3 linked regions of the Macaca mulatta genome follow. The protein of the gene in region 1 interacts with the protein of each later gene in a pairwise test. Links are inferred from orthologs where the notes say so. Each region holds a gene or a part of one and is shown in the gene's direction. Other genes may lie near its edges.

Region 1 (3,648 bases):
TATATTTACGTTCAGTGCTGTGGGAACAAAATCCAAAAGAAATGAGTGACAGTGTGACTAAGGGCTTTCATGGTCAAAATAAACACCAGCAAGCAGGAATTACCAAACAGTTGAACATTGCCAGCCTCAAAGCCTGGTCATGTAGACACCATGGCAACCTGAATAAATTTGCATTCTAGGAGCCAATGTAGAGATTGCTTTAAGAGAATGCAGTGGGCATCTTTTAAAACATCTCAAATTATTAATTCACTTGGTTGGCAAATGTATATTGAGTACCAACATGTGAAAAGGGAAGAGAGAATATAGGGGAAGGCAAATCAGATTCCAAGTTCAACAAGCCTATTATACATTCTTCAATTGTATTTGAAGAGGTCTGACTGAGGAATGGCAGCAGAGCCAATGCTCTTCTTCACCTCCCCACTGGTTCTGTTACAGCTGTAAAGGTGCCTCCCACTACGGCCTGACCAAAGACAGGAAGAGGCGCTCACAAGATGGCTGTCCAGATGGCTGTGCAAGCCTCACAGCCATGGCTCCCTCCCCAGAGGTTTCTGCAGCTGCCACCATCTCCTTAATGACAGACGAGCCTGGCCTAGACAACCCTGCCTACGTGTCCTCGGCGGAAGACGGGCAGCCAGCAGTCAGCCCAGTGGACTCTGGACGGAGCAACCGAACTAGGGGTGAGTCAAATGGGTGGTTGTCCAGGATTGGGTTCCTTGGCTTGGGATTGCTCTCTGTGGAATACTTACTGTGGAAAGTTCTAGAAATGTTTTTTAAGGGGAAATCATTCTGGCAGTTTTGGCAGGAACCCAATGTCCAATTCTCCAAAGTGAAGTGAAACCACAAGTACCTCCGATCATTAAACTGTGTGTAATCTGACTTGGTGAAAGGGGCTGAAACTAGACCTAATGATTCATCACTCCTGCAGTGTCAGTAATTTTTCAGCCATACTGTTCAAGAAAAGTGCTATTGTATTCAGTTCAGCCCAGAAACAGAAAAGAAAAGCAGAGCACGTCATACATATTTCACTGTAGAAAACTTAGAAAATACAGGTAAGCAAATTCTACAATCCTACCACCTAGAGGTAGTCACTGTTAATGTCTTATTATATATATTTTATCAGATATGTACATAAATGATGATTTCTATTAAATCATAACTACTGTTCCTCTTGTTGCTTTTCCTCAGCACGGCCCTTTGAGAGATCCACTATTAGAAGCAGATCTTTTAAAAAAATAAATAGAGCTTTGAGTGTTCTTCGAAGGACAAAGAGCGGGAGTGCGGTTGCCAACCACGCTGACCAGGGCAGGGAAAATTCTGAAAACACCACTGCCCCTGAAGGTAAATGACCTCCCCACAAGGCAGGATGGACATGGGCTAGGCTTCCAGGGGGACTTCAGGGATGATGCAATCTGATCACCATCCACCTTCTGTGACCCCTCTCTTCCCGAGGGTATACAATGTTTTTTACTTTGATTAGCCTGCTTCTCACATAAGTAGCTAAAGGCAGAAAGTATTATCATCTTTTTACATAGATTGAAGAAAAAGTGTTGAAACCCTTACCTTCAGGTGCTAGTGCCATTATGCATTTGAAGAAGAAGAATTATAGTTAAAGAGTGAAAAACATTTAAAACAATGACTGGCACATACAATAAATGCAATATATATATTTGCTCTCCTTACTCTTTCAACTACATGTGAGGTGTGGTGCTGAGTGTTTTACATGCATTTTGTCATTTAAGCCTCACAACAACCCCATACTCCATGTGTATGTGTGTGTATGTGTGTGTGTGTGTGTTTGTGTGTGTTTCGAGACAGAGTCTTACTCTTATCGCCCAGGCTGGAGTGCAACGGTGCAACCTCTGCCTCCTGGGGTCAAGCGATTCTCCTGCTTCAGCCTCCCAAATAGGTGGGATTACAAGCACCTGCCAAAACAGCCAGCTATTTTTTTGTATTTTTTAGTAGAAACGGAGTTTCTGCATGTTGGTCAGGCTGGTCTTGAACTCCTGACCTCAGGCGATCCACCCACCTCGGCCTCTCGAAGTGCTGGGATTACAGGCATGAGCCACCGCACCTGGTGCTACTACTATTTCTGTTTTATAGATGAGGAAACTGTGGCACAGAGAGGCTCCTTAGGTTGTTCCAAATTACCTTGCTAAACTTTGAATCCAGGTAACATGGCTGTAGAATTCATGCAAAGCAAGCTGTTGAGTCTTAGATCCCATATGTTTTCTCCAGTATAAATGGAGCTGAGGAAATACTGTCCTACTATCTTTGCTTTTTATGTTAGAACTTTAGTAATAATAACATTTTTTAAAAATTGAGCTCTTTCTGTATGCACATAGTGTTTTCAGTCATTTAGCTGTGACAATAATGTTAAGGGGATAGGACTCTCATTCCCATTTTACAGATGGGAAAACGGAGACCCAGAGGGATTAGGTAATTAGTCCAGTCACCCGGCTAGAAAATGGCAGAACCAAGATTTTAACTAAGGTCCTCTCATTCCAGAGCCTACTCTCTTAGCTCCTGGGTTATACTGCCCTCTACTCTTGGGAGTTGGGAGGCAGAGCCTAAACCACTGTATGTATTATGCCCTCAAAATTCATGAGCAGCCTTATCAGACCTTTTCTTGTATACTTATTCATGATTGCCTCTCACCCTGTACATACATGCTGCATGCTCTAAGAGCTCTCAGCTGATTACAGTCCTGTAAATGCTGTATGTCTTTCTCTCGCCTCCCTTCTATTGTCCAGCCTGCATTCCCACTCTCCTTTCAGCTGGCATTGACATTCCTTCTTTCAGGTTTATTGTAAGCCTTTGCCTCCTCCTGGAAACCTCACTGACTCCTTCAGCCCTCTTTTTAGGTGTTTTTGAAGCACCTGTAGCAGTGATTATCATATTTCATGTAACTGTACCTCAAAGTGTAGGGTTTATTATTATTTTTCTGAGTCCTTGTTTTAAGGCCTAGTACAGTGTCTGGCACATAAGTGTCCACTAAATGTCTGTGCAATGACTAAATGAAAAGATTAGAACTTCCTTTCCACCAGTCTCTTCCTCTTATTAAAGACTCCTCAATTCCACTCCATGTAAAGTTCTCTAGTACTTGGGCCAGGCGTGGTGGCTTACTCCTGTAATACCAGCACTTTGGGAGGCTGAGGCAGCCATATCACCTGAGGGTGGGAGTTTGAGACCAGCCTGGACAACATAGTGAAACCCCATCTCTATTAAAAATACAAAAATTAGCCAGGGCGTGGTGATGGGCACCTGTAATTCCAGCTACTTGGGAGGCTGAGGCTGCAGTGAGCTGAGATTGTGTCACTGCACTCCAGCCTGGGTGACTCCATCTCAAAAAAAAAAAAAAAGTTATCTTGAAAAAGATATATTTGCATATTTATTACAAAAACATTTATAAAAGAGATTATTATATGTAAGGCACCGGCCTAGGTGCTGTCATTTTATATAAAGAATATAAAATGTAGTTCCTGGCATCAGGGGGTTTATTCAAGACTAAAATAAAATAAAAGCATACCTCATTTTTATTTTTACAAATTGAAAGCTTGTGGTCACCCTATAGCGAACAAGTCTGTTGGCTCCATTTTTCCGAAAGCATGTGCTCACTTCATGTCTCTGTGTCACATTTAGGTAATTCTT
Region 2 (3,748 bases), on another chromosome or scaffold:
AGCTAAGGAAACAGCTTCCTTGTCAGCCTCTGTCCCTCCCTGGTCCCAGACCACATGGTGGGGTCCCTTTCCCCATCCTGAGGTCCACAGAATGACAGTCCCCCTCCAAGTTAACTGGGAAATAACTCAGAAAGCCACCCGCAGAACTAATCCCTCCTCCTGCTTGGGGAGGACTTGGAAAAACTGAGAACAGCCAAAAGCCAGAATGGAAACTCAGTTCTCCTGACTGGGATCCAGGGCCTGCTCTACTCTTCCTCCTTAGAAGTCCTTCCCAAGGATCCCTGACATTCCATGGTCGGGGAGCAGGAAAGAGGCCTTGGCGGGTACTCACTCACCAGCTATGTGAGTAGAGCGGTCACTTAGCTTCTGTGGCTTCATCTGTAAAATGGGTATATCCCAAAATACCAGACTCACAGGGCTGCTGAGAGCTTAAATGAATAACACACTTACGCAAAGTGTCTGGCATACAGGTGCTCAGCCAACCTCAGGTCCAGCTATGTCGTTCTCCAAGAACTTAGATGAAGGAAAGAACCCACTCCCACCCACCCCGCCCCCACCCCGATACACACAACGGGCAAATGAAAAAATATGACGAAACACATGCGGGTCAATGCTATGGGGATTCCTCGTCGGGGAAGTTTCTTCCCTTATCAGCAGTTGGATGACGCAGATGGCACAAAGGAAAAACAAAAACGCTCGGACCAATGGGAAGACTGCGATTTGGGGAAGCACTCATTCTTTTCCCAGAGTTCGGGAGTTCGACCTTCCCCATACACAGTGATTTAGCTTCACTAGCCCAGACTGCGGGCCTGCAGGGAAGGGCGAAGCGGGGCGGGACCGGGGGCGGGAGCTGCGCGAGGAGGGAGCAGCGCGGGGCGGGAGCAGCGCGGGGCGGGAGCAGCGCGGGGCGGGACCCTCCCCGCGGCCCACGCGGAGCCAGGAGGCGCGGACTACAGCTCCCGGCCTGCCCCGCGCGTGATTCCCTCCCGCCCCCCGCGCCCGGGAGGAGGATGCAGACGCCGCGGCCGGCGATGAGGATGGAGGCCGGGGAGGGAGCGCCGCCGGCGGGGGCGGGCGGCCGCGCCGCAGGCGGCTGGGGCAAGTGGGTGCGGCTCAACGTCGGGGGCACGGTGTTCCTGACCACCCGGCAGACGTTGTGCCGCGAGCAGAAGTCCTTCCTCAGCCGCCTGTGCCAGGGGGAAGAGCTGCAGTCGGACCGGGTGAGGCCCCCGGGGTGGGCGGCGAGCGGGCGGTGGGTCCTCTGCTGGCCCGACGCAGGGCTGTCGGGCCTGGCTCGCCCGCCAGGCTGGGGACCCGGCTGCGTTCATTTCCGAGGAACTGGAGGCGGGAAGAAGCGGCAGGAGGAGGGAAGGGGGAGGTGGGTCTGGTAGTGAGGGATGTGCCCATTGCCGTGGCAACGGGACACCGCAGGTCGCGGCCATTAGAAGCTCTCCAGCCGCCCTGGATCGGGGTCTCACCTTCTCCTTTGGGGCAGTGGACAGGGAGATACCTGGGGCCTTTCCTCCCTCCCAAAGGGGACTCCTGCTCTGGGGAAGGAGTCGACGAGGCTACTTCTCCTGCCCTTTGGGATGTGGGTGGCGGAGGGGTGCAGGGAGCTAGCTGGATGGAGGAGCCCTGGGGCGCCTTTTGAGCGGGCTGAATCTAGAAGGAGCGCTGGCCCAGCGGGCACTGTTTCTGAGCACCCACCCTGACTCTGCTGCACGCTGCCTGCTGCGACCTTGGGTCGGACCCTTCCCTGCACTGCGCTCAGCCTCCTTCCTCATCTGTAACACGAAGGGCTGGTCTGAAGATGACCTCTAAGGTCTCCTGTCCCCCATCCGTGACCTTCCGATGCTGTGGCCTTTGGCAAGTCGCCTCGCCTCTCAATGTCTCCCATCTCTCTGTAGAGTCGCATGGAAGCCCACTCTGCCTCCCTGCCTGCCTGAATGTCCAGTGAGATAGTGGCTTCTTTGGAAACTTGTAAACATTCCCTGAAAGCCTGGGGACCTGGGGGCGACAGTGGGGCTGGCATCAGGGGACAGCTTCTAAGAGGGACATTCTCTGAGCCCTGTGCTGGCCCAGTTGCCACTCAGACCTCCTGTCACCAGATGCTCACAGCGACCCCTGATGATGAGGAGAGGAGTGAGGCTCAAAGAGGCCAAATCATTAGCCTAAGGTCACACATTCAGGAAAAGTCAGAAGCAGGGTTTGAACTCAGGTCCACCTGACCCCAGTGCCTTTTTGCTCCTTTGTGCCTGCTCCATCCAGGGAAGAGCTCTCCCTGGACTCGCTTCCCTCCCTGTGCATGTGTGGGGTTGGCCTGGGAGAGGCCTCACTCTTCGCTCACGGAGCATCCCTCACCTCCATAGGATGAGACCGGGGCCTACCTCATTGACCGTGACCCCACCTACTTCGGGCCCATCCTGAACTTCCTCCGGCATGGCAAGCTGGTGCTGGACAAGGACATGGCTGAGGAGGGTGAGTTGGTTCAGGGGACTGGCCTGGGGCCCACATCCTAGCCCGGCCCTCTGCAGCCTGCCAGGGCCCTCTGTGGAGGCCCCAAGCCATTTGGACAACCAGGATGGCCGTCTGCCTGCTTCGTTGTTTCCTGCCTCTTCCCATCCGGACGAGTCTGATTCCCAAGCATCTGCCTGTGCCCAGCCTGGGGCTCTGCCAAGCGGACGGGCTCAAGCTTTCCCAGGGTGCTGTCAGGGAGGTGACAAAGACACACGCGCAGGGGATAGAGGAAGTCAGCAATGCCCTGTGGCCTCTGCGGTGGGCTGTGATGCCCTTTCTCTCTGGCCTCCTAGGAAGCCAGATGTGGACCGTCACATCCGGAGGCTGGGGTGACAGGAATTTGGTGTTGACAGGCATGGGGAGAGCGCTCTCTCTCTCTTTCTCTGGCTGATCCAGTATCTCCAATTCTGCCTGGTGAGGGCTTGTAAGTGGGTGGAGCGGGTGACTGTTCACTAAGTCTGGCAGCCTGTGCGGCACAGTGCTGGTTGTGGGTGGAGGCAGGGGAGGGGGGAGTCTGCTTCCCAGTGGGGCTTTGGTTATCCCCAGGCCTAGGTGGCAGGGGCCCTGGATATGCCCATATCTGGGCCTAACAAACAGTGGGGAAGCCGTGTCTGGAAGAACGACCTGTTAGCAGAGCCCCAGCCAGGGGCAAGGACTAGAGTCAATGCCAAGTTAACTCTTCTTTGGGACACAGGGTGTGGCTCTGGGTCAGCTGATCCAGCCAGACCAGCTTGAACATGTCACTTCTCCTCGCTGCGTCTCCACTGGTATCTGTTAAATGGGGGCGGTGATCTGCCTCCTGGAGGGAGATGTCATGAATCCTGTGCACAGACAGCACCTGCATCTGTGCATGCCTTCCTGCTCTGGGCCATGGTCTGCCCTCCCTGAGCCCTATGGGACACAGTGGTCTGGAGGCCCAGCAACTCTCTAGCAGGTCAGGGCCGCAACACCAGAGTCCACTGTGGGTACCTGGCCCTGCAGAACCCCACAGCTTCCCTGTTAATCCCTGTGGGAGCACAGATACCATGGGAGTGGCCTAGGCTCAGGAGCAGGCCCCGCCGGGAAGGAAGTAAACACCCAAGCTGCGTCACAGCCAGCACCTGTTTACACGCCCTGCGTTCTCAAAGCCCTGCTATTCCCACACCTGCAGACAGGCCTGTCCGGGACTAGAGGATCAGACAGGGCTATCCGGGGGCTAGGGGATCACGCAGGCCTGTCCGGGGGCTAGGGG
Region 3 (3,681 bases), on another chromosome or scaffold:
CAGGACCCTTTCCTGTAACAGGTCTAACCCCTTACAGACTCTCCCCACCTAAACTCAAACTGGAGCTGACCCTCACACACAGCAGTCCTTAAATGAGATGTGTGAAAGTTTCCAGAACTTTCACACATCTCCTTGCCAGGCCCGCAGTCAAGGACTCTCCTATCCCCTTGCCCTGAGACCCAATCCTAAAGACCATCTGTGGGGTTGGAACTAGAGGTTCCACCTCAGCAGTGCCCACCTCCTTCAACACCCAAACCCACAGTCTAACCCTGATGCCGGAAGCCTTCCCCACTCAACAGTAGGCATCGCGTGGAGTGCAAGAAGCCAGACATGATGGACAGCTTCCTGTCTGAATCCCCTCATATGAACCTGACGGGCACAATGAACCTGCAGGGTTAAACTCCGGACGCTGGCCACCCTCAGGGTGGAGATGACAGGACAGGACAGGACAGGACAGGGGCCATGGGGCTTCCGGGGGGCTCATGTTCCTTGACTTGGGGGCAGTTACAAGGGTATAGTGGGTCTTGTTGAAGGACAAAAGTTCAGTAAGTTCGTCCTGACAGGCCAAAGAAACCCAGAGCCGTCTTTCGACTGACTACAGCCTGGAATGGGGGCCAAGGCCACTCCCTGCCTCTATTGCTCCATTTCTGAGTTGGTCTCACTTCCCACCCCACCAACGGCACGCTGGGGAGGGGAGGGGCTATGCAAAAGAGGGCGGGGAGCGTGGGGTGGGGCCGCTCCTTGGAACGGAAGCGCTCGGCCTCGAGGCCCTTCCGGTGCGGGAGAAACTACTACTCCCATAATGCCCCGCGGTCCCGCGAGCAGCCAGTCTCGTCGCGAGAAGCAGCGGGCGGGGGCGTCTGAGCCGACAAACGGAAGTGTAGGTTACGGTCTGAGACATAACCGCCAAGCTGGGCGTCGGGGAGATGGCCGAGACTGACCCCAAGACCGTGCAGGACCTCACCTCGGTGGTAAGGGACGGCTGTGAGGGCCCGAGGCCGCGGCCTTCTCGGGCGGCGCCGGGCCAGGCCCTGCTGGACAGAGGCGCGCCCACCGCACCCGCGCTTGGCGTCTGCCGAGGCCCGGTTTCTGGAAGCGTCTCTGGCCGAGGCTCCCGGCCACCTTGACCCCCTGGGCGCTCGGTGCGGACCCGTCTACCCGCGAGCGCTCCTAAGCCCGACCCCCTCCGGTAACCCCATTCACCTGTCGCGAACGCCCCCCGGGTCCCTCCTGCCTCGCTCTGACACCCTCCCCGCCCTTCGACTCCTTACACACCCCTGGGTGCCTCAGCCCGGCAGAAACAGCCTAAAGACCCTGAACTTTGAGTCGCAGCGGCCTCCCCAGCCCACCAGTCTAATTAGACAGGTGGGAAAACGGAAGCCCCGAGAAGGAAGATCCTTGCTGAAGGCGGCACAGCTGCCCAGAGGCAGAAATGGGGCTGGAACCCGAGATCAGAGCTCACGTCCTGATCCCAGGAAGGTGTCTCAGGATCAGTGTGGACCGTGTTTGTTTGTTTCGGTTTTTCTTAGGTGCAGACACTCCTGCAGCAGATGCAAGATAAATTTCAGACCATGTCTGACCAGATCATTGGGAGAAATATCCTTTTTATCTGTAGTGGGCCTCCTGTGGGCCTTTGGAGCCTCTTTGCCGGGCAGCGGTGGGGATAAATGAGTAGTTTTCAGGCCAGCTTCAGCCAGTCACTTACAGAATTTGAGCTTGGATTGTACTGTGTTTCCAAGAAGGACTGCGCCGAGAGCTCGGGGTACAGCTGAGCTAGACAGATCCCTGGCTCAAGGAGCGTACATCTACCAATCCTAATAGCTGGTGTGGTTGACCATGGACTGTGAACTAAGCGCTTTTGTGTGTGTCTTTCTTTTGATACTCAGCATGACCTTATGAGTGGGTTGTAGTGTTACCATCTTTAGCAAATGCATAAATTGAGGTTTAGGGGTTCCATCACTAGTAAGGGTCAGGGCCGGAAACCGATGCTGAGTAGCCATGCCCCAGAGGCCTATACTCTTACCCACCAGCCTGTAACAGTGTCTAAAGGAAATTGGAAGACCGGTTTCCCTAAAATCGTTGTGTTTAAGGCCGTAGTCCACAGGGACGGAAGGAAAGGGCTCAATGAGGAGATGTTGGCACGCGTTGTCTTTAACTTCACCACTTGATGATATGAGTAGTCGCATTGATGATCTGGAGAAGAACATCGCAGACCTCATGACACAGGCTGGGGTGGAGGAACTGGAAGGTGAAAACAAGATACCTGCCACACAAAAGAGTTGAAGGTGAGGAAGGGGGCAATTTTTTTTTTCGTTTCTTTTTTTCTTTTCTTTTTTTTTTTTTTTTTTTAACACGGAGTTTTGCTCTTGTTGCCCAGGCTGGAGTGCAATGGCACAATCTCGGCTCACCACAACCTTTGTCTCCTGGGTTCAAGGGATTCTCCTGCCTCAGCCTCCCGAGTAGCTGGGATTACAGGCTTGTGCCACGACGCCCAGCTAATTTTGTATTCTTAGTAGAGATGGGGTTTCTCCATGTTGGTCAGGCTGGTCTCGAATTCTGACCTCAAGTGATCCGCCCACCTCAGCCTCTGGAAGTACTGGGATTACAGGTGTGAGCCACCGTGCCCGGCCTTTTTTTTTTTTTTTTTTTCCCTTAAAAGAATAGAACCTGTAAATATAATTTTGATGTAGTCAGACATTCTGTAGATCAGTTCCCAGCCATGATCCCAGCAAACATCCCTGTATTCTTTACCCGCTGTGGACTTCATGTTTTGGAATTTTTCATGCCAAACTCATTCTTTACACTGAATTTATTTTCCCAGGTTTTATTAATTAGACTTCTGTCACTGTTAGTTAAGACAACTGGCTAACATTAGATAACCACTGAGTTTTTATCATTCCAGCTAATAAAGGGGTTTTTGTTGGCCTATAAAGCCTGTCACTGGAAGATTTTCCATTGCTTTTCTTGGGAGGCGGGGGGCGGTGGAGGGGATCGCTGATAAGTCGCCCACATTACCACCTTCTTAAATGGCTTAAATTCTGGAGACTTTCTTGGTAACTTGACATTGGTAAACTAGATTGTGGCCACATTAAGCTTTTACTCTGGAGTTCATTTAAATTTCCACTGAATAGTTTCAGATGTCAGAGGAAAGCCCATTAAAACTACCCAATAGCAAGATAGGTAAATGTACACTATCACTCAGCACTGAGTGCACAGTCCTTTTCCTCTGTATATGTGAAAAATAAGTTTTAAACTCCCTTTTCTCATGTTTCATTTATAACGTTTTAATTCTCTATAAAAATGAATGTTACCCAGGGAGGCAGAGGTTGCAGTTGAGATCGCGCCACTGCACTCCAGCCTGGGCGACAGAGTGAGATTCGTCTCAAAAAAAAAAACGGTTGCTGGCACGTGGTGGCTCATGCCTGTAATCCCAGCACTTTGGGAGGCAAAGGCGCGCAGATCACTTGATGTGAGGAGCTCGAGACCAGCCTGGCCAACATGGTGAAACCCTGTCTCTACAAAAATGGGCGTGGTGGTGCACGCCTGTAATCCCAGCTACTCGGCAGGCTGAGACAGGAGAATCCTTTGAACCCAGGAGGCAGAGTTTGCAGTGAGCCATGATCATGCTACTGCACTCCAGCCTGGGTGATAGAGCAAGACTCTGTCTCAAAAAAAAAATAA

The links.
Region 2: the proteins of LNX1 (region 1) and KCTD17 interact in a two-hybrid assay, tested with the Homo sapiens proteins (2 studies listed by BioGRID and IntAct). The link is inferred for Macaca mulatta from reciprocal best matches to the Homo sapiens genes LNX1 and KCTD17.
Region 3: the proteins of LNX1 (region 1) and HSBP1 interact in binary tests that used the Homo sapiens proteins (3 or more experiments, as listed by UniProt). The link is inferred for Macaca mulatta from reciprocal best matches to the Homo sapiens genes LNX1 and HSBP1.

Annotation. Positions count from the first base shown.
Region 1 is NC_133410.1:79,996,686-80,000,333, forward strand, and holds part of LNX1 (E3 ubiquitin-protein ligase LNX), read left to right. Parts: intron 1-435; coding exon 436-677; intron 678-1,185; coding exon 1,186-1,338; intron 1,339-3,648.
Region 2 is NC_133415.1:14,498,611-14,502,358, reverse strand, and holds the start of KCTD17 (BTB/POZ domain-containing protein KCTD17), read left to right. Parts: upstream 1-1,006; 5' UTR 1,007-1,010; coding exon 1,011-1,220; intron 1,221-2,369; coding exon 2,370-2,478; intron 2,479-3,748. UniProt on the Homo sapiens protein: Substrate-adapter for CUL3-RING ubiquitin ligase complexes which mediates the ubiquitination and subsequent proteasomal degradation of TCHP, a protein involved in ciliogenesis down-regulation.
Region 3 is NC_133425.1:79,175,173-79,178,853, forward strand, and holds the start of HSBP1 (heat shock factor-binding protein 1), read left to right. Parts: upstream 1-840; 5' UTR 841-926; coding exon 927-971; intron 972-1,529; coding exon 1,530-1,596; intron 1,597-2,164; coding exon 2,165-2,283; 3' UTR 2,284-2,285; exon of another isoform or gene 2,286-2,459; intron 2,460-3,555; exon of another isoform or gene 3,556-3,681. UniProt on the Homo sapiens protein: Negative regulator of the heat shock response. Negatively affects HSF1 DNA-binding activity. May have a role in the suppression of the activation of the stress response during the aging process.